3 linked regions of the Notamacropus eugenii genome follow. The protein of the gene in region 1 interacts with the protein of each later gene in a pairwise test. Links are inferred from orthologs where the notes say so. Each region holds a gene or a part of one and is shown in the gene's direction. Other genes may lie near its edges.

What was found.
Region 2: the proteins of UBE2E3 (region 1) and RNF167 interact in a two-hybrid assay, tested with the Homo sapiens proteins (2 studies listed by BioGRID and IntAct). The link is inferred for Notamacropus eugenii from reciprocal best matches to the Homo sapiens genes UBE2E3 and RNF167.
Region 3: the proteins of UBE2E3 (region 1) and TRIM39 interact in binary tests that used the Homo sapiens proteins (3 or more experiments, as listed by UniProt). The link is inferred for Notamacropus eugenii from reciprocal best matches to the Homo sapiens genes UBE2E3 and TRIM39.

The regions. Positions count from the first base shown.
Region 1 is NC_092876.1:244,823,260-244,831,232, forward strand, and holds the start of UBE2E3 (ubiquitin-conjugating enzyme E2 E3), read left to right. Parts: upstream 1-4,968; 5' UTR 4,969-5,362; intron 5,363-5,459; exon of another isoform or gene 5,460-5,646; intron 5,647-5,653; exon of another isoform or gene 5,654-6,020; intron 6,021-6,056; exon of another isoform or gene 6,057-6,548; intron 6,549-6,590; exon of another isoform or gene 6,591-6,703; intron 6,704-6,722; exon of another isoform or gene 6,723-7,088; intron 7,089-7,111; exon of another isoform or gene 7,112-7,349; intron 7,350-7,744; 5' UTR 7,745-7,769; coding exon 7,770-7,963; intron 7,964-7,973. UniProt on the Homo sapiens protein: Accepts ubiquitin from the E1 complex and catalyzes its covalent attachment to other proteins. In vitro catalyzes 'Lys-11'- and 'Lys-48'-, as well as 'Lys-63'-linked polyubiquitination.
Region 2 is NC_092873.1:79,355,502-79,362,731, forward strand, and holds the start of RNF167 (E3 ubiquitin-protein ligase RNF167), read left to right. Parts: upstream 1-4,226; 5' UTR 4,227-4,401; exon of another isoform or gene 4,402-4,609; intron 4,610-4,924; 5' UTR 4,925-4,962; coding exon 4,963-5,046; exon of another isoform or gene 5,047-5,071; intron 5,072-5,383; coding exon 5,384-5,464; intron 5,465-6,329; coding exon 6,330-6,455; intron 6,456-6,536; coding exon 6,537-6,624; intron 6,625-6,724; coding exon 6,725-6,815; intron 6,816-7,230. Other genes in the region: SLC25A11 (mitochondrial 2-oxoglutarate/malate carrier protein), read right to left, coding at 1,094-1,249, 1,453-1,504, 1,839-1,938, 2,047-2,137, 2,238-2,328, 2,661-2,867, 3,085-3,237, 3,710-3,975.
Region 3 is NC_092873.1:84,399,275-84,406,418, forward strand, and holds the start of TRIM39 (E3 ubiquitin-protein ligase TRIM39), read left to right. Parts: upstream 1-4,140; 5' UTR 4,141-4,452; intron 4,453-4,659; exon of another isoform or gene 4,660-5,057; intron 5,058-5,157; 5' UTR 5,158-5,241; intron 5,242-6,822; exon of another isoform or gene 6,823-7,019; intron 7,020-7,144.

The DNA.
Region 1 (7,973 bases):
AGATCCACAGGAAGGCAAAAGATCCACTGGAGAGGGAAGGAGAGCTTTCATGACTGTTCACGGACCTGGGTGAATTTTCTATTAAGCAAACTAAAGTCTGTCCCACATTCAAGGTATTGTTAGCCTGAGTCCTTGAAAGAGAGCTGAGGACCCCTTATTTTCACTTTAGAGACCTAGACAAGAGCCACATTCTCATATTTCCAGGGAAATTCTTGGTAGGGGCATGAGCCCAAGGGAAATTCCTGGGAGAAGTCTCCAAGACTCAACCCAGTCCATGTAAATCCAGGGTTGAGTTTTCGGGACATAAGTTATTGGTCCCATGCAACCAATTGTACAGGGGTCACATGACTTTTAAGATTTTTTTTCCTTCTTAAATTAATTTAAATTAAAAAAAATTCATAAATGTCTAAAAAAATAAAGCTTACAGTTATATAACACTTTAAAAATATTTAATATGTGTATTTTACATTGTAAATATGTGTACTTTACATTGAGACTCACACAGCCTTTATGAAGTACTAACAGTAGCTATGATTAGTTAAGTTGTGCCAAGTTATACAGTTACAGTTACTGGCAGAACCAAAAGTTGAACTCAGTTCTTCTGAATTTAAGGTTATACCTTGCAGGCCCAGGGCTATCACTTAAATGCAGGTTAGATTTATTTTTCTGTATACATTTACCCACAATGAAGCTCATTTGCCATTTTTCACTAGCTTGCATAGGCTGATGACCTCTTTACTTTATCCTAGTTCACCAGGGATTTTACTACCTAGAAGGGCTAATATAATTTGTACTTTGAAATTTTACTGTATATGCCCTCTTCTAGAATACTTTCAAAAAGGTTAAAAAAGACTCTTCCTCGTGGAGATCCCTGAAGTACCCATTTTTAACACTTGTCTGTCCAAGAAAGACCTATTTATTTTTAACCTTTGCTTTCAATCAGCTAGTTTTTCAGCCATAATAAAATTCTCCAATCCATCTTGTGGTAATTCAGTTTCTTTCTTTTTCTTTAATGGCTTCGGGTCTGCAATCTTTTCCACAAGACTGAATACCAATCAAATTAATTCAAAACTCTGGATGCACATGTATTATTTCTTATTGGGTAACCTTAATTTAGACAAACGTGAAGGAATACAGAAGAAAAAGTTAATGTCCAAAACGTATATGCGCAAAGACTATTTGGTTGGTAAAAATCTCACTTTTCCTGTGTCCTCTTGAAAAGCTGTAGGAGCCATCCTCTGGAAAATGTCTTTTTGTTATCCATTTTTTTCTGAGCCTCAAACAGAGGACTACTTGGGAGGGCGAGAAACTGAATAAGAATGCCACTAATGTTTGCCTTTTTGATCTGGAAATGCAGATCTTTACTATTCAAACAAATGTATCTAGGCTACACATTTGAATCTACCAGTACTCAATTAAGTTAGAGGAGGGTAGGGAATGGAGGGAGGGTGGATGAGACAGAGAGAGAGATCCAAAACAATGTGGCTCAAGCCACATTGTCCATTTTCAAGTGGAAAAAGACAAATCTTATGTGTACTGGGGTTGGTATCTTTATCTGGGAACAGTTAGTACTTTCAACTTGTTTTATATTATCTCTCCCTTCATTGAAAGCCAGTTTAGAGAATTAGTTTCAGAATTGGAAAGGACTAATTCAACCTATACCTGAAAAAAAGATCCTCACTATAATACACCTGATAATCCAAAGCAGCCCATTCCACTTTTGTATAGCTCTGATTGATTTTTTTCCCCTTCCATCAAGATTAAATTGACCTCCTTGCAATTTCCAACTATTGTTCTAGATTCTCTCTCTGGAGCTAAAGAGAAGTCTAGTCCCCTTTCTATATGACATCTCTTCAAACACTTGAAGCCAGCAGTCATGTTTCTTCACCAATCCCACTTCAAGTCCAAATATTCTCTTTTCCAGGCTGAACATCCCCAGTTCCTTCAACTGTTCTTCATACGGCATTAATTTTAGGTTCTTTAACCATTCTGATTTATATCAGGAAAACCCATAAACAATAGCACAGATGAGGAGAGCAGGGTATGATTTTAGGAAATGTTGAATAATCTGGAGGGGAAATATGTGAAGCACTAATGTGAGACAAACTTGGAGGGGTAGGTTAGAGTCAGATTGTGGAAGACTTTAAATGCCAAGAATAGACTGTATTCAGTTGGCAGTGCCATGATCAGAACTGTGTAATAGAATGTTTAATGTGGAACAATACCTCCAACAACTTCAATAACACTGTTTAGTAGCATCACTGATGTTAAAAAAAAAAGAGACTTTTTAATTTTGTATCAAAATCCTCCAAGACGGAAGTCATCCCAGGACCAGGAGGGAACTAGAGACAGTATCCACTTCATCCACTCTTTTTCAAAACTGTCTGAAAAAGGAGAGGTGTTGTTCTTCCAGAAAATATCCTTAAGTTCCCTATTGTGGGGGAAAACTGAAATGAGCTGCTCACCACTTCAGATAAAAATGAGCGAAAATGATTTTAAAAAAACCCTGAAGCAACCCCCTTCTTACCCCCTGCAAAAAAAAAAAAAATATGTCTTCCTAGTGAACCAGTTCAGTTCTATTGATGGATAAAATTTCTCTTTTCCCATTTTATTGGTAAAGCCTTGATAGCATAGAGAAGTATGGGTATAGGTAAATGGATACCTATATCACAATATTTCGGAGCTGGCCAGGATTTTAATTAATAAGTCCAATGTTCTTATTGTGCAAACAAGAAAATAGAGGCCCAGAGAAATGAAGGGCCTTGTCCAACGTCACACAGTTCTAACTCTGCTACTAACTAGAATTCAGGTAACTTAATTTCTAGTCTAGTACTATCTGCAAAGCATCATGTTGCTCCCAAAAACTAAACAGGAAGGAAGGAAAGAAGGAAGGAAGGAAAGAAGGAAGGAAGGAAGGAAAGAAGGAAATAAGAAGGGAGGAAAGAAGGAAGGAAAGGAAGGGAAGAAGTAAGAAAGAAGGGAGGGAGGATGGAAAGAAAGGGAAAAGAGAAAGAAAGAAGAAAAATAAAGAGCAAGCAGGGAGTTAAAGGAATACTGAGAGAGCTTGGGGGGCACTTGAAAAGAAAGAAAACAGCTGAAATCAACAAAAGGAATCAATCAACAAACATTTATTGAGCACTATCCTAATCCTTTTTTGGGATATCAAGTCTGAGGTCCTTGTTTTCCAGGAGTTAACAGGCTGGTTGGAGATATAAGGTAGAGATATTTGAAATGTTTAAACAGAGGGGGGAAATGAAAAGAAAGTAAGAAAAATATTTTTAAAATCATCAAAAGGAACTACATGACTAATTTCTGGATGAATAGGATAAGGATTAAGTGCGCTAGGAGTTCAGAAGAGGACATCATGGATCTAAGTTTTTAAAAAAGATGTGATTTTGACTGGATCTTGAAGAATAAGTGAAATCTGAAAAAGTGTTCACATTTCAGGCTGGAGGAATGATAGGAGAAACAAAAAGTAAATCAACAGATATTCACTTATCAAGTGCTGATTACATGGGAAGCCCTCTTTAGGTTAGGGATAGGGACTGGATATGTGAATTCATTTATAAAGGGAACTACAAAAAAAAATTAAAGTCCCTACCCTCAAGGAGCTTACATTTTAACAAAAGAGGAGAAAGTTCAAGACAACTTATTTTGCGTACATAACACAGACAAGAGCTGGAAGTGACTTTAGATGCCAGTCGATTTTACAGACCAAGAAGCTGAGACTGAAAAAGATGATTTACTTGTCATTTACCTTTAGTTAGTGTCAGATGAAGCAAAGACTAGAATTTGGGTCACCTAACTTAATGGTTTACTGTTCTTTTCACTTAATCATTAGCTAGAACTTTGGGTCCAAATCTGTAAAATGAGGGAGGTGATAATCACAGTACCACCTTATAGTGAATTGTATATCCCTTTAAAATGTATAAAGTGTTTTCATATTTTCACATTGGTAAACTAATTTAATTAAGGTAAACAGAATAGGAATTACTGATTTAAAACCCATATATATTTAAATAAATTCACAGATGGAGGCAGAAAACTAAGACTCACAAGTTTAGTGACTTGCCTAAGGTCACAGAGCTAGTATAGTAAATGGCAAAATTGAGTCCAAGTCTTAATGGCTCCAAATGATGTCCTTTCCAGACCTCTAAGCCTCTTTGTGCTATAAAATTTTGTCGCTATGAATTTATCTTTTCTCCTCAAAACCAAGTTCTTTACTTGCCTGCTCTATTTCTATCTCCCAGGTACAAAACCTGAATCATCTTACATTCTTCTCTTTCCCTTATCCTCCTCTATAACCAGTCACCAAATCCTCCTGAGTCTTTCTTCACAACTTTCTACATCTTTCCATTGACTATTACCATCTAACTCCAGGGCTTTAACAATTCACAGCCAGACAACCCCCAAGTGGTCTCCTTGCTAGTGGTGTTTCTGCCTTTCTCTCTCCCGTTCATCTTGCTTAAATAAAGCGCACTTTATCAACCCACTCCCCTGCACAAAAACCTTCCATGGCTCCCCACTGCTGCCAGAACAAAGTCCAAACTCCTAGCAAGGGTCAAAGTCCATTTTCCCAGAAATACCTTTTTTCTCCAACTTGCGTCCTTCAGTAAATACACGAATGTTATTTACTGATCAGATCTACTTGGGGAAACCTCTCACAAAAACCTTTCTATTTGGGGAGAAAAAAATCAGCCCAGTATGGGGGCACATTTCCCTTTTTGATGTACTTTCCGTTGAACTTCCCACACTGTCAGGACTCGGATCTCTTTTTCTCTTTTGCCAACATCTGTGTAAGTGGAATCCACAAATCCCTCTCGGGCTCCATCCCTAGAACCAGGGCTGCTCAGTAGCAGGGGCAGGTCTGGGCTGTAAACAGGAAGTTTTTGTATTTCTGGCCACCTTGTGATTGGGCCTGGGGCCGCCTGCCAGGAGACCAAAAAGGAACGGTTAATCCGAAGTACTGGGAGGGTGGGGGAGAGAGAAGGAATCTTGAGTTTGGGGCTCAGCCTGACTCGCGCTGCCAGCGAGGTGCATGTGTCCAGGGCCGGGGTCCTGCCTGCATGCCAGCCTCGCGCTGCACAAAGTGCTGCGGTCGCGCCCCTTTCCAGCGCGAGCGGGACATTTAAAATTTGTTATTCCCCCTTTTAAGTTTCCAGGGCCTCCGGAACCCCATCCCGTGGGGGAGCGCTGTTAAGGGCAAGGGCGGAGAAGGCGCCGGGGTCACCAAGCCCCCTGAGATCCTTCCCTGCCCCCGGTGCCCAGGACCGTCCTTCCCAAGCCCCCAGTCCCCTCCGTCCCTGCCCACTCGGACTGCAGGGAAGGGAAGATGGCTCTTCCCCGGTCCCTGGACTCCTCGGTAAATATCAATCCATCTTCCCGGGCAGGAGGGAGGCGGCGAGGTGGCCTTCGACAGCAACTACAGGTCTGGGGTGGCAGGGCCGAGATCCTGGGCCCTGAGGATCCACCCTCCCCCCACACCCAACCCTTTAGTATCCAGAGCCACCGCCGCCTCCTCCCGCACTGGGGGAAGGGTGCCAGGCGGGGGAGGAGAGCCTTTGGGGGTGACCCTCCCTGCTGGCGCTGCCGAGGTGCACCAGACGGCGAGCTCCCTCCTCCTCCTCCCCCGTGCAGAACCGACGGGTGGGTAGCCCAGTGGGTAGCTCAGGGAAGGGCGGTGGGGCAGGGAGAGTGGAGCGGTGCAGGCCGGAAACCACCCTGCTGCAAAATCGGCCCTCTGGCCCCTCGGGCGGGTGCCCCCGCCCTCCCCGGGGCTGGCTGGCTGGCCGGCCCGGCGCATTCCTCCGGGCCAGTCCGCCCCTGTCCCCGGCGGGCGGCGCACTCTTTGTCCTTGGCCGGCCCAGGCGGGCAGACGCGTGCGCCCCCCGGGTGAAGGGAAGCGCGGGGGGGGCGGGAGAGCGAGCGAGCGAGAAAGCGAGAGAGGGAGAGAGAGAGAGCGAGCGAGCGAACGACGGGAGGGAGCCAGCCCGGGCTGCCGGCGCGCGCCCCACAGCCAGGCAAGCGAGCACGCGCGCCGCCTCCTCCTCCCCCCTCCCCTCCCCCTCCCCTTCCCTCCCAGCTCGCAGGGAACTTGCTGACTGCACCGATCGGGAGGCGAGCGGGGACAGGGGAGGCCGTAGAACTCTCGGATCTCCCCCGTTCCATCTGGGCTCCCGGGGAGCTCGCGCCCTCACACAGCAGCGGCGCCTCCTCCTCCTCCTCCTCCTCCTCCTCCTCCTCTTCCCCGTTCCGTCCCCCACCCCACCCCCACCCCACCCCCGTTTTCTTTTCTCTCCCTCTTTTTTTTTTTTTTTTTTTTTGCAAAGGCGCTGGGCGGCGCCACCCTCCGGCCAGAGCGCCGCACTACACAACCCCCTACGACTTTCAATGTTCCACACTCCCCGGCCAGAGCCTCCTCTGCTTCTTTTTTTTCCTCCCCCCCCCTTCCCCCCTCCCGGCTGCTTCCATTTCCTTAAGGAAGGGTTTTTTTTCTCTCCCTCCCCCACATCTCAGCTGCGTGTAAGCGGGGCAGAACGGCGGTGAAGGTAAAGCTGGAAGGGTTTTTTTGGGGGGGGCGGTGAGGGGTGGGGGGGGCGGCTTGCAGCGGCGGCGGCGGCGGCGGCAGGAGCAGCAGCAGCAGCCGCGGCAGCCGCAGCAGCAGCAGCAGCAGGAGCCGCCGCCGCCGCCGGGGCGAGCTGGGGTTGGTTGGTGGGGGGGGAGGGGGAGGGGGGCCGAGGGAGCTTTGTTCTTGTTTTCGGCGCTCGCCCTGCCGGTCTCCGGGAGCCCGAGGAGCCAGGACTGACTTCACGCATCACTTGGTGCACACACCACGCTGATATTGGAGCGCTGCCTCCTACCATAACAAACCCTCTCCCCGTCCCTCCCCACAAAGGGGGCTGCAAAGCTGCATTGCCGCCGCCGCCGCCGCTGCAATTTCCTATCGAAAGCTTTTCTTTTTCTCTCTTTTGCAAATTCTGTTCGGAGTTCTTTTGGGGGCGGGGGGGCTTTTTTTTTTTTTGGCCAAAATGTCGGTCTGTAATATCAAAACCGAGCCAGGAACGGTGGCGTTGGGAGCTTTGCAGAAGGTGCAGTTTGAATTTTGCTTTTCGCTGTGGAGCAGCCCTGTGGTGGCCAAATGAATCTTTGCTGCTGGCCGTGCCAACCAAGGAGGCTGCTTTTTAGCCTCCCCCCCTTTTTTCCTTGGGGAAGGGGGGGAGGTACAGCGCTTAAAGGCTTAAGTGCCAAGAGAAAGGGGTTGTTGCCACGTTTAGGAAGCATAGGGGTGATTAGCAGGACGTGTTTTTCCTTCAGAGAGGGAATTTGGTAGCTCTGACCCACGTAAATGTGTAAATATTTAGACGTTATTAGTAACTTTGTAACATTTTTCAGCGAGGTCTGTTATTTACAATGTGTCAGATGTTATTAATGTTCATTGCTTAAGTTCCCTGGCAGATCTGTTTCGTGCCTTCTGAGAAAGTAGACAATTGATAGATTGTCCAAGGGACGAAAAAAATTCTGAGTGGGTTTTCCAAGTTGAGTTCTGTAAATCTTTAAATATTGGCATTCTGGTACATACATCACCTCCCTCTGTAACCTTGCAGTAACAATGAGATAAGTGTATAGACACTTTAAAAGGCTTATCATTTAAAAGACAGATTTTAGGAAATATTTTGCAGAAAGGAATGATGTGGAATTTGTTCTTCAGGTTTAACGCCCTTTTTTCTTTTCTTTTTTTTAAAAGTTTTCAGAGAAATAACTTGACCAAGATGTCCAGTGATAGGCAAAGGTCAGATGATGAAAGTCCAAGTACCAGCAGTGGCAGTTCAGATGCAGATCAGAGGGACCCAGCAGCACCAGAACCTGAGGAACAAGAAGAAAGAAAACCATCTGCCACCCAGCAGAAAAAGAACACCAAACTCTCTAGCAAAACCACTGCTAAGTTATCTACTAGTGCTAAAAGGTAATACCTA
Region 2 (7,230 bases), on another chromosome or scaffold:
CACCCTCCCTTCAGACTGCTAAGTCAATTTGTCTCCCACATTCTTCCTTTGCAGCATTTGGGCTTCAGCCCTTTCAAGGGACATCCATCTCCCACTCCAGCTCCCAACAAAAGGGAATATAAGAAGTGCAGAATGTTTTCATGACCCCCAAAAAAGTCGAAGTAATGACAAATCCCTTACCATAGTTAAATATATTTTCATAAAATCATCGTGTATTTTTACCATAATTTTTAAGATAAAAAAAAAAGGCATAGACAACCTGTTCCTCAGGAACCTGATCAATCAAAGCAGCCCCTTTCCTCAGGCTGAGGGAGGATAGAGTATCCAAGCACACAGTAGGGGCAAACAGCTCTCTTTTCCTACCTCTTACTTCCTTATAACTGTCACTTGTTACAACAGAAATGAGGAAACACGTGGAGTATGGAGGGGCCCTGGTCTTGATCAGTGTGGAAGCTGAGCAGACACCAAATTTCAACCTGTCTCTTACTAGGCATTTACTAGGTCCTTTGCTGGGGATGGGGACTAAAAGAAGTATTCTACTTTACCATGAGGCCTCCCTGCCTACATAGGCACTCTCCTCTGTTCTAGCTCCTCTGCTTCCTTCCTCTTTTGTCTCCTACTAACTTAGTTTCCCTGCTTGGGAAGCAAGCAGAAATACTCTATCAGTCAACTGTTCCATGGAACTTAAAATTATCCAAAATGTTGCTTCTGCCAGGCCCTCTTTATCCTCCTCCCTCCTCCATGGGGTGTTCTGGGGTAGAGGTTCCAAGAGTTATGAAGAAAAGTCCCAGGATCTTTGGGGGGAACCTAGAGGCCACAGGAAAAGGGAAGTAGAGTCCAAGCTGGAGCAGGGGACAGATCAAAGTCCTTTATATCAGGAGAAACCACATGGGGGGGGGGGAAGAATGGAGATGGGGGAAATAAATAGAATGGGAAGCTGAGGAGGACAGAATCCAGACATCCCCTTTGGAAGGTGAATGTATGGTAAGGGCTGGGAGAACTGAAGCTCATGGGGGTGTGGCATGGTAGGGACCCCTCAGATCCCCATTCCTGGAGCCATGTCCTCCTGGTCCTCAGGCACCTTTGAGGCTCCTCAACCACTGAGAAAGAGCTTCTTGTAAGCTTTGTTCATCTGCTCCAGGAAAATAAAGGTGAGGACAGTATGGGGGCCAAGCCGGGCATAGTAGGGAGTGAATCCCTTCCAGAGGCTGAAGAATCCTTCATATCGAATGACCTTCACCAGCACATCCTGTCAAGGAACAAGGGGTGGGCTTGGAGGATGAGAGGAACACCAACCTCTCCCCACCTACACAGTTCCAACCAAAGGACCCAAATATGAAGATTCCCAGGCCTAGGTCCACGGATGAATACAGATCAGATGTTTTACATAATATTAGCTTATTATAAAGAAGAGATAGGTGAATAACTTCTCTGAATTCCCCAAATTCTTACCAGTCCATTCTTATACTCAGGCTTCCCATCAATCATTCGCATATTCTGGATCCTGAGGTGAATACAAGGAGGGGTAAATAACAGGTTAGAGCTGTGGGGAAAGCTGGGGCCTAGGTGGGATGGAATGAGACCAAGGCTTACAATCTTTGATGATAGATTTAAAATAAGAATAGCCCTTTAAAGTTTTCTAGTTTCATTTTACCATATTACAAATAGAGAAAAATGAAGAAAAGAGACCAGGTCTTCTTGACTCCAAGTCCAGAGCTCAAAAAATAGTATGGTTTGCTGTCCTACTGAGCTACCATTTCCTCCATCTGAACAATGTTAAGTGCATATGTGAAAACCCAGACATCCTTCCCCCTTTCTCTTAGAGACTCTGAGCCCACCTGGTTTTAACAATGTCCACAGGCATAGAGGCTGCTGTGGTGACCAGCCCACTGATCATACTGGCGCAGAAATGACAGAAGATGTTGTCAGAGAAGTAACCTATAGTGGCAGGGGAAAAAGATGTGTCAGTTTAAATCCTTGGAATGACTGGAGCACGAAGGACTGGGGACCAGATGCTCAGGTGGGTGGGGAAGGTCTGGGGCTCACCCGAATCCAAGAGAAACTGTTTAGACTGTGAATAGGAAGCAAGCTGGGCGGCATTGACAACAACAGCTCTAGCCATGGTAGGGATACAACCCTAGCATTAAGAGAAAAAGGAATGTGTCAGCCCCCTACTTCCTTTTGGACCCCCTCCCCTTTCCATGCTCCCCCCTAATCATCAAGCCTCTTCCACTCACCCTCCAAAGGGTAGGGACCCCCTCTTCCCGGGTAATCCTCAAGAGTGCATCAAAAACATTCTTGTAGCCTCTACGCTGATCCGGGGGCAACCTGCAGAAAGTGAGTAATGGTGAAAATGGGAGAGGATGACAGGAGAGAGGATCTGGAAAGAGCTAAGGTCATGAAGGAAAAAACCAAGAGTTACCAACTGATAATGCCATTCTCTTTGCATTACAAAGAATCACAGCACTTCAGAGCCAAAAAGTCAATTCCCTCATTTTACCAGTTCAGAGAAATAAACTGACTTGCCCCAAAATTGGAGGGGAAGTAGTGAAACTAGAACTTGTGCCTCCTGATTGCTAATTGACTGGTTTTTTTCAGGCTAATGGCCCAGAGAGAGGATGGGGTCCTAGGTCCTTAGGGAGGATTTAGGCATGACTCACCGACCATCAGCAGTCATTCGAATCAGGGCAACTTCAGCAGGTGTTCCCACAAAGGCTCCTGTAGCACCTGCTGTCATGCCAATCACAGCCTTCAGCAAGAAGCCAGGGGGTGTCCCATCTGCCCCAGTCAGGCGCTCAAAGAGAACAGTGTAAATGCCAAGGCGAGTTGTTGTGTAGGTTGCCTGGCGAAGGAGCCCGGCAGACAGCCTGATGGAAGGTGAAAGCAGGTCAGGCACTCCAGAATCAAAGCCCAATGGGAAAGGGAAAACCCCTTCCCTGGCCCTTCCTTCTCATAGTTTGGAGAGAAGGGCTGGGCATGGTGCCACACAGCTGCTAGTCCTCATGCCTCACCTACAGTGCCTGCCCCCTTCCTTTCCCCAAAGGCCCAGACCTCTAACTCCCAGGTCCCCAGTCCTAGAATTACCCTGTGTAGATGCCCCTTAGCCCTTCATTCCTCAGGATGCTGGTGAGGGCGTGGAAGCTGGTCTTGTATTCACGGGTCTTGGCCCCTTCCCCACTCAGCTGCATTCGGTTCTTCACCAGGTCTAGAGGCTGCACAAAAACAGTGGCCCCCATCCTGAGGTGGGGGAAGAAGGGGGCTCAGAGACGGACCCTCACAATCTCCATCCCGGGTGCCTCGGGTGCTCAGACGGGCACCACGTAAAAGTGGACGGGCCATGGGTGCCAACCGAGGTCCGAATTCGGGTTAAGTGTTCACGCAACTTTCCAGAGATTGGCTGGGCCAGGCCAGGGGGTCGCGCTGCGCTCGGGGCGGCACGGCGGGTTGCAATGACCCGGGGATCTGCAGGCCCGAAGGCCAGAGAAGGGATGGAGGTGTGACGGGGGCTCCGTGAAGGAGGGCCACACGTCAGGCAGTCCGGGGCCACCGTGCAATGGGGGCCGTGCGGCGCAGGGGCGGCGGGGGGGGGATGGGCCGGGAGCAACGTCCGCGCTGCCCCGAGGCCGCCCCCGAGTGCAGCCTCGTCGGTCCGGAGAAGCGCTTAGCTTCCAGCCCGGGCCGGTAGATGGGTGGGGAGGAGAACGCTTACCCGGCCAGGCCCCCGAACAAGAACTTGACCGATTTGGGGGACGTGCGGGGCTTCAAAGTCACCTCGCTGCCCCCCGGAGGTGCCGCCGCCGCCGCCGCCATCTCCACTAATGCCCAGCTACACCAGGGAGTCGCGAGCGCGCGCCCCCCCCACGCACCCAAGGTGACACTGCGTGCGCGCGCACGCGTCCTTGCGTGAGCTCTCTCCACCAGCCCAGACAGCCCAGACAGCCCCGCCTCCTCCCCAAACCCCGGGGTCAGCCCCATCACCACTTCAGCGGGAGGTTGGCACGCAGGCGCACAAAGAGGCGACCGGAGAGAGGACGGAACCAGAATAGTGAAGCGCAGGAATGGAGGCGGAGCTTAGAGGATAATGTTGGGAGTGGGAGTGGGTTTGAGGTTCGTGGAGAGGGTCGTGAATAAAGGGAGAGAGACAGAGAGAGAGAGATCGAACGGGGTAAACCGAAACAAACGTGCGGATACCACATGGGCATCATTAGTACGGAGGCCCCGGGGCATGAGAGAAAGTGGGGGAAATCTCGTGAGATCTAGGAAGCCGGGGAGTGACGAGGAAGATTCTCGCGACAATTGGCTTTAGTGTTTGGAGGACGGGGGAAGTGAGGAAGATCTCGCGAGACTTAAATGAACCTGAGGTAGCGGCGGCGGCGCCAGCAGCCCTGGGAGGGAGTAGAGGTTTGTAAACTGGGAATCACCGGGGGCAGCGGGAGCGGAAATCTTCCCAGTAGAATGGGAAGGACTTTGCAGGAGGTTTCTTTGGGCACCTAGGCTTCCTCCACATGTGCAGCTGTCCTTGTCGCCCTCATTTTCTGCTTTAACCCGCTGGCCCACTTTTGATGTCCCCTGGGCCCAGGTGTCGGGGGCCGGAAGTCCCTTTTAAGGGGTAAGGCGGGGGGATCCTGCAGGTCCGGAAGTGCTCCTTGTGGCTTCTTTCCTTTACCGGAAGTTCCTCTTATCATTGGGTTCCCCCCCTTTTACCCACAAACCACAAAACTTGAGTGGACCTAGAGACCCCTACTGCCCCACCTGGTTCAGAACTGTCATCTCCCCATCTCTCCTCTCCCCCCTCCCGCCCAATACCATGGGGAGTTCGGGCTGGGTGAAAGATTAGATTACTTGGCCGGGGTGGGATACATTTGGGGTTTGTGGGGTGGGCGTGGGGCGCTCGAACAGAACTCCGTTCTCTTTTTGGCTGCAGGACCCCGTCCTCCCCAACCTGCGGCTGCTGCTGCCACCATGCGTCCTGAGGCCTTTCCGTTCCCTGTGCTAATGGTCACCGTGCTATGGGGGATCACCCCCACTTGGGGGCTCATCCGAGCCGTGAGTCTGGGGACCTGGGCCCAGGGTGAGCTGAGCTTAGGACAACAGGTTCCCTACGCAAAGTGGATCCCCAACCTTTTCTTACTCCGTGGGTGTTAGGAATAATACTAGATTGGGAACCAAAGGACCTGAACTCTCCAGCAGTTACTACCATTGTGTTAATTACTTCCCACCTTTGGGCCTCAAGTTTTTTCATTTGCTAAATGAGAGGTTTGGACTAATTCCCCTTCCAGTTCTAAATTATATATATCCAATATTAGAATTGGTGAAGGGAGAGGAAGGGAGGGAGCAGGGTTTCAGCGGGGACAAAGGGAAGCAGTAAGTCTTATGTTCCCAGACTTCGGACCACAATAGCAGCATGGACTTTGAAGATCTTCCAGCCCTATTTGGGGCTTCCCTGAGCCAAGAAGGGCTCCTGGTAAGTTGCTTATCCTCTGGAAGTTTGGATCAAGGGGGTAAGAAGGGCTAGGTGAACAGTAAGCTTAGTGATATAATGGGAAAAGGACTGCAACTCTACTGAAAAGTTCTAGTTTAGAAACCTGAATTTGTTACTTTGCACCTGTGACATTGGGCAAATCACTTCTGTGACTCAGTATTCTCATCTGTAAAGTGAAAGGGTTAGACTAGGTCAGGGGTTCTTAACTTGGGGTTCATGAATTTTTTTCTCATATTTTGATGACTTTACCATTGAATCTTTTTGTAATTTTATGCATTTCATTTTATTCATTTTAAAAACATTGTTCTGAGAAGGCTTCACCAGACTTTCAAAAGATCCGAGACACAAAATTAAGCCCTAAAATACGTGATCAACAAGGTGCTTTTCCATATTTTATAGTTAGAACTATATAGCAGCATATCAGAACTTTATGGCGGAATATATTTAATTGGTGCTAGATTGGAGAGATTGATGGTTTGTATGTGGGAGAGGGAAGAGAGTTTATAACTGAAGATTACTTCCTATGAGAGTGAATAGTATTTCAAGGTAAATATCCTGAGCAAAAGCTTATCTTGAAGAAAGCTTGGAGTCAGATGGTTGTGAAGCGTGGAGAGCAGGGTACACTAGAGGCTAAAGTGGGAGAAGAAAGTAGTTGTTAGGGGAGAGGGTTCTCAACTGTGGAGGAATCTTACTGGAGAGTTTGGGATCATTATTCTAAAGAAACTTTGGTTTAGAATTGGATGTTTCTAATTAACTTGTGTCTCTTGCTGCCTGGAGGAGATAAAGGGTAGGGATTTTTGGATCCATGGAGGCAGGAAGAGCACCTAATCTTATTCCCTCCCCCCAGGGGTTCCTAGTTGAGGCTCATCCTGCCAATGCCTGTAGTCCTATCAATCCTCCACCTCTTGCTCCTGCCAATGGTTCTGCCTTTATTGCCCTGCTTCGGAGATTTGACTGCAACTTTGATCTCAAGGTGGGGAATGGGAATGGGGATTGTGGAAGGAATTTAGAGTGATTGGGTGGTTGTTACCGTGACTCCCCTTCATCCTCTCAGGTTCTAAATGCCCAAAAGGCTGGGTACAGAGCAGCTATAGTCTACAATGTGAATTCCAATGAACTTTTGAACATGGTGTGGAATAGTGGTAAGAGTTGGGTACCTGAGCACCCAAGTCCTTGGGGTGGGGGGAGGTGAGAGGAGGTGGGGATGCCTGAGTCCCTGGTATGACAGTCCCATTCCTGCAGAGGAAATTCAGCAGCAGATCTGGATCCCATCAGTGTTTGTGGGAGAGACAAGCTCAGAGTACCTGCGCTCCCTCTATGTCTACGACAAGGGGTATGATTTGTCTTCCCTGTCCTCAATCCTGATTCATATCTGGTGTGTTCCTAATCTCCTTTTCCCACCCGATCTTTTCATTCACTATTTTCCTCTCCACCTTGTGTCTCTCCTTCCCCCCCCCCCATAATTATTCTTTTATCTCAGTCTGGCATACCATGTGAGTCACAAAACTTTGCTAGGAAGGGCACAGGACTCATGAGTTTGCTTAAGCTCTATGGCTGTAGCATGTCTGTCTGAGCCTGTTTCCTCATTTGTAAAATAGAAGTAGGCAACTTGTATTGCCTATGCCACGGGTTTGTTGTGAGGAAGTTTTGTAAACCATAAAGTGTTAGAGAAATATGAGCTTTTGTGCTTGAGTTTTTATTTCCCTTCCTTTTCCCATGCCTCCAGTCCTTGAATGCCCCTTATTGCT
Region 3 (7,144 bases), on another chromosome or scaffold:
AAGTATGGCTCTGGAAAGCCTGGAATATCACTTAGTCTGGAGGTGCACAGATAAGCAAGGAGAACAGGAAAGAGGGAGGAGGGGTGCTGCTCTGGAGTCTATACAGATAAGCAAAGGGAACAGGGAAGAGTAGGGGACAAGTTGTTCTGTCAGGTTAGGTTATTTCGGGTACTTTGTGAAGGCACACAGGTAAGGCCACAGTGTGGGGCTTCAATGCACAGTGTTCTTTAATCACTTTTCTGGGTAGTCACATCCTGTATCTTGTCTCATATCTCAACATCCTGCTTGCTCTATCTGCCTCTAATACTCCTTTCTACCTCATCGTTGAGAACTGCTGAACTTTCATTCAGTACAACAAACATTTAGTAAATACATTTCTCTTGCAAGGTCTGATGCTAGTCTCTGTCGATACTGTGACAAAAACAATACTCTCTGCCCTCAATTCTTATTTTCCTAGGGAGATACAATATTTATATAAATAAGCATGTACAAGATAAACTGAGAAAAGAAAGTGTAACAACTGGGGAGATCCTAAAAGGTTTCACCTTTGTGATACCTCTAAGCTAAACCTTGAAGGACAGCAAGAAGAAATATGTATGTATTATATATACAGATATCTAATTTCATATATATATACATATACTCTGTGTGTGCACATATACATATGTGTATATATATATATATATATATATATATATATTATGTACAGCCATGAAAAACAAAGAACTTACCCTAAAGGAATTTACAGTATTGGGGGAGGGGGTGAGATGGATGCACAAACAGGTAAAGTACAAGGAGAAAAAAAGCAGAGACCCAGGACAAGCACTCTAAGATCTGAGGGGGAAAAAAATCATTTCCAGCTAGGGAAATTTTTGTTGGCCATAATCAGTGTTTATCACGTCCCTTAGGGGGGTTGTTATGAAGTTTAAATGAGATAATCTGTGTAAAAGGCTTTACAAACTGTAGGATGCTATATAAAATGTCAGTGTAAGACAGATAAACACAGGATACTTGAGGACTGCTAGCACGGGTTCACTCTTGATTTGGTCAGACAGGAAATACTAAAAAGGGATTAATAATCTTACTTTAGTCTAGTTTTCTCAGAAGAGGATTGCTGATAACCAGAGCACAAACTCCTACAGCATTCCCTAATCACCCTTCTCACAGGGGATGGTGAGAAGGGGGGGAGGCAACTACCCCTACATCTCAATAGGGTCAATTCAGAAAGGCACAACTTGTGTTTCCCCTAAATCCCCTCAAGCCTCAATGGGAGCCAGTTGAGGCAAACACAGATTCCCCCCAAGCCTTGATGGGGGCCAATCAAGGCAGCACAGCATTCCAGTGCACTCAACCCTAAGTGTTGCCCCACCAAACCTCAGTGGGGTCAGTTGAGCCACACACAGCATTTGTGCATTCAACCCTAAGGGTTCCCCATTCACTATCTAGTGACCACCTATTTTATAGGCCAACAAAGAAGGCATATTGTTAGCAACAGCCAAAATGTATCTCACAGTGCAGCTGCAGTGAATGTCTATATTATCATTATATAACTATGTGCAGGCGCGGTGGAGATGTTTTGAACCATAACTGTGGGAACTCATATCTAGGACTTGGGAATTGTTGACTGTTATGGCTATGGATCCTGGGAAACTGAACTCTGAGAAATAATAGCAAAAATTCACTTTACACACACTAAAATCCACCTTACACTAAAATTCACCTTTCATATAGTCAGTTTTGAGTATCTTGTTCAATCTGTCTGACTCTCATCACCCCATTTGGACTCCTCTTGTGTTTTTCCATTTCCTTCTCCAGCTCATTTTACAGATGAGGAACTGTGGCAAATAAGGTTAAGTGATTTGCCCAGGTTCACACAGCTAAGTTATCCGAGGACGAATTTGAACTCTAGGAAAGGCACTATATACACCGTGCCAACTACACCAGCCTCTAACTATTTAGTATAGTAGGTGTTGTTTTTCTACATTCGGCTATTACTTTCTTGTAACAGCTGACCATGCCATCAGAGAAATGGTGGTCTTCTTCGACAACGAAGGACAAACACAACCTTGTAAGTAGATGCAGCTGGCTGAATGGGGACCCAGCTAGGTGAGTAACTCAACTGCTCTTCTCCTGTCTGCCTGCCCCTCCCCTACCTTCTTCTCTCCAAAGGAAGGTAAATTTGGATGGCCAAAAGATGCCCAGTTGACTTGAGTTTTACTGGCTCCTTTCCTTCCCTTCCATTCTGTTGCTTGTCTTGTCCGGTCATGACAACTTTAAACCTACTGCACTCTGAAACTGGGACTCCAATGGGCCCCTGCCTAAGAGCTCCTCTGGACTCTCCTAGCTTTACAGTGATTATCAATAGTAACTGTTGCTAGTTCCCACCCAGCCTGATGTCTTTCTTTTTCTTGACCTCATTAATGGGGCTATGCCCTGCCTACCTCTTAAACAAGCCTATTCAATGAATGAGCATAGCCTCACCCTAAGTGAGTGTCTGCAAAGACCTTAGCCTAAAGTGCCCAAGGCCTCCCACTGCATCCTGGGTTATCTCCAGTCATCCTGAGGAATATCAGGTCACTGGATTCAGATGGCTCTGGAGAAGAAGTGAGGCTGGTGACCTGCACAGCCCTCCCTCACTCAAAACAAAGTCAAGTGCAAGTCATGTCATCATTTCTCTGATGGCATGGTCTTCTTCAACAAAGAAGGACGAACACAATCTTGTAACAGTCAAACATTCAGATTAGCCAATGAGGCAACACACATGCATTTTCTCTCTTTATTTGTTTGAAGACTCACATACCCTCCCTGACTGGGGAGGCAAGTGATCTAGACCTTGAAGGTTGAGGATTTCAAAGGGAAGAGAAGTGCTGGAAGATAATCTCAGGTATGGGGGAGCAGGGTGGAATTCCAGGAAGAGTGTGGGTCCTGGATGTCTTGCGGAACAGCTAAAAGTCCAGTTTGGTTGAAACGTGGATAGTGTCCGAAGTACAAAATAAGACTAGGAAGAAAGAGGCCGTGGTTACTATGGTTGTGTATCTAGAAGATCATCCTGTAAAGGAAGAACCCAAGAAGGAAAAGACTATTGGTAGGAAGACCAATTCGAAGGCTCTTGGCAAAGTAGTTCAGGTGAAACCTCTACCAAAAATGTGATAGGACTTTCAAGATATGAGTTGCAGATGCAGTACAAAACTAAGGAGAGCTGGTGTTCAGTTCTGAAAATTTTTCAGATAAGCTTAAGGAAACTTTTGGAATTTTCTCAGCTTAAGCTAAGTAGCACTGATCGGTATCTAAGGATGTGGTCGTCATCACTCTTTACAAGTTTAGTAGCAACACCTTTCTGGCCACATCAGTTTTGCCACCGTAGTCCTGTGAATTCTCCCACATGGGGTCAAGTATCCTGCTCGAGAACCAGTTCTTGCTGCCCTTCTCCCCCTTGGAGTTCCCAAGACTGCAAACTTCCCCATTCCCAGGATTACAGACGTGGAAGAACATCTCACACGAGATGTTAGCAAAGGGGAGGTCGGGTTCGGGAATGGAACCGGGGTCTCGAGAGTTCAAGTGCACTGAGGCCACGCAGCCTCTTTCCCCCAACTTCGAAACACGTCTACCTACCAGCTGTAACCTAATAGAAGAGGGGAGGGAGCCTTCTTACTATTCTGTTCCTATAAAGCCCTTTTAAGCAAAACCTCGCTTTTCTTGTGACACCCCAGTGAACTGAACTAGTACTGTAATTCCCATTTTAGTTTTGATTTGGGTTAATCTTTCCCTCCACGGACTCGAGGAGAAATGGGCACAGCCAGCCACCGTACCGCCGGGGGTCCTGCCCTAGCTTCTCTCTAGGTTCCCTTCCCAGGCCCAGAACATGGGGTGTGGTCGTTCAGCTTTCCCATCCGAAGACCCAGACTCACCTCGCCCCGGTCCCGGGTCCGCTGAAGAGGGCGCCAGCGGCCACCTGGGCTTAACACCCCGTCACCACGACCGCTCTAGCCCGCGCCCGCTTCTCTGTGGCCTCAGGTAGCTCCGGGGCGCCTGCGCTCCGAAGCCCCGCCCACCCTGGCCACCACCCGCCCCTCTCGGAGACTTCGGCAGCTCCTGTGGCCTGTGCGCAGGCGTGCGTCCCCAACGCCCCCCTCCTTCCGCCCTTTTCGCGATGGCCTCGCGGGTCCATTGGGCGCGTGCAGCGCGACGGCCCAAACCCCCTTCTCCTTAATCCCTTCTCGCCCCAGCTGATCGGGGTTGAGCCTAGTTTATATCCACGGCTTGTTGGCGATGGCATCACGGGCTCCTCCCCCCGGCCGGCTGTGGGCACCGAGGCTTCAGCCCGGGGTGGGACTCGTGGAGCGTAGATTCCGCTTCCGGTGTGTATTGTGTGTATCTTTCGGGGGCTGGAGGAGGAGGCAGTGGCCTCGGCGGCTCCGGTACCCCGGACCCCCGGATCTGGACCTGGGGGAGGTAAGTGGGAATACCTTCCCCCTCCCTCCGACTTGTGCTACCCTTTTCTCCCTGGCCAGCTTCAGCTCTGCGTTCCAGCGTCCCCGCGCCCTGTTACTACGTCACTGCCACCCCCAGCACGTAACAATCGCCTTCCTCCTCCTGCTTGGGGGGCTGGAGCCAACGTCACCTCTGCCCTGGTGATGTCAGGGCGTCCAGCGTGGTCTAGCTGCATTGCCTTAGTGTCTCCCCTCTGCCATACTTCATTCTTAATCCTCCTCATCCTCATGCTTACCCAACTTAATGATGTCATAGACATCCTCCACTCCATCACAGCAGTCCGAGATACTCTGCTCATGCCTCTCTTTGGGGTCACCACCACCCTTCCTGCCAGTCAGAGGCCTTGTTTTCCTTACCCCTCCTGGCAGTGTCATGTTAGGCAGAGCTGGAGAGAGGAAATAAGGGTGGTCTGGGGACAGAGTTGTGGTCAATGCTTGGAAGAAAAGAGTAGTAAAGTTAGGGTCCCCCAAAGATGGGGAGAAGCAGAATGTGGGTTCCCACAAAGTTTGCCCGTCATCCACTGACACTTTCAGAGGAGGAAGAGAATCTGTTTCACCACGCACAGAGTCAGTATCTGTAGGAAGAGTTTTGTTTTTGGCTCCCCTCCATAGACCCTTCCCTCTCCAAATATCTGACCGTTTTCCTCCTTTCCCTTTCTTCCTTCAGGGCTGGGTGGTCCTTCCCTTTTCCCATCCTAATGCCCTGTTCAGTCTTGGCTCCTAAGCTACAGAGACTACAACTCTTCCCTAGGTAAGTAAACCTCTCAGCTCTTAGATGTTTTATGAACATGGCAAGAGAAGGTCTTAGAACTGGGTGCCTTAGAGGTAGAATAATATGAAAACTTAATTCATCTCCTGGTTGATGAGGAAAGGATGACACAGAAATGGCCTGTGCTAATTTATCCTCCATTTAGTGCAAATCAATAAATACTTATTAAGCCCAAGTATATCATATTAGGTGCTAGGGATGAAAAAAATGAATGCTAGTTTACCCCATTGGGGACCTTAATGAACTCAGATACGTAGGAAATTGGTTCTACTAATGGATATAGAATTTGTAAAGAATCCAGCGTCCTTTTCTTTAATATCATTTATTTCTAGGCTTCATAGACATACTATATACTGTTTATCCTCCTTTTCCCTCCTCCCCCCACCCCCCCAAAAAAACCAGTATCTAATAGTAGCTAGAGAAAATGAGTCAGGAGAAGGTGTAATGTTAGACATTCGTTTGTTTGCTGGTAAGTCTTGCTTTCTTTGGGCTATATAGAGAGTTTTCCTGGTATTAGGCACAAAAAGAGACCTATGATGTGCGATAGACTATAGGATGTATGTTCCCCATATAGGTCAGGAAGAAAGTAAAAAGTGAGTATAGGATTTGTTATAGGTTGAGCATTATATTTTTTATAGGCAGGCAAGATGAGAAGATGCATTTTTTTAAAAACATTTTATTATTGTATATGATCCAAATTTTTGTGTCAGTTATTTTCCCCCTAAACCCTACCTTGAAACAAAGAAAACCAATTAAGCAAATGAACATAATGATTGACACTTCTGAACAGGTATGCAACATTCCATTCCTATAGTCTCCCAACTTTTTTAAAGGGAGGTGCTTTCCTCATTTCTTTTACAGGGCTAAGATTGATCATTAAAATCATTCTGCTTGAGATTTGTTGTCAGATTTTGTTTACATTATTGTTGACCTAATGGAAGAAAGATATTTTGGCCATCGGATTGTATTTAGTAGAGAGTTTTGTAGATAGTTTTTGGCAGTAAGCTGTGAATTAGGTATAAGGGAATATGGACCTGAGATAGTTACGTAATTTGGATACTGGAGGAGAGAAGGAAGGATAAAGGCAGAATGAGTTATTGAAAAGATCAAGCTTACTGAGCTTTAAAGTTTTTTTTAAATCCCCACTGCTTAGCACAATATGTAGCAGCACGTAGTAGACAATAAATACTTTTTGATGGACTTGGTGGAATGGAGTAGAATGTGTTTCTGGAATGTGCTGGGGTGATCCATGTTAGAGAATCTCTAGTCCTCTAGTCACTGCTAACTAATTGGGAGTTTTGTTTGACAATTTTTCTTGTTTTCAAAGGGTAATACCTTGGGCCTAATAGGCATTACCATTGGTACTGTTGAATGTGGGTGCTACATATTTGCAACTCTTTAAATGTGTGCACCAAGATGATTAGATCCCCAGTGTTAGGAGGATGTTAAGATAAAATGTATCCAAAGAGCAGTGGAGCACTTTGTGAATCATTTGAGTCCGAACGGAAGGCAAAGTGCACACCTTTTAACATGATGTTACTTTTTGCTGGCTTTATCTATTAGGCCTTCCTGAAAAGAAGCAGGGTGGCATCCATCCTCATCCCAAATCAAGTCCTGTGAAAGAGTGGGGATTGAATGATCCATGAGGAGGTGTATGAAAAAATTGGTGAGGAATAGGCCTAGAAGAAAGATGAAGAGCAACTCTAGGAGAGAAGAATGATTGGGACAAGTTGGAGGATGGGAAAAAATAGTAGATACAGGTGAGTGGTAGAAGTTGACAATTTGGTATGTTCTAGGGTAGAGAGGAAAATGTTCATTTTATATATATCACAGAATTTTGATGGGGAGATATGCCTCCTTTTTTTAGTTATTTCAATAAAATGTT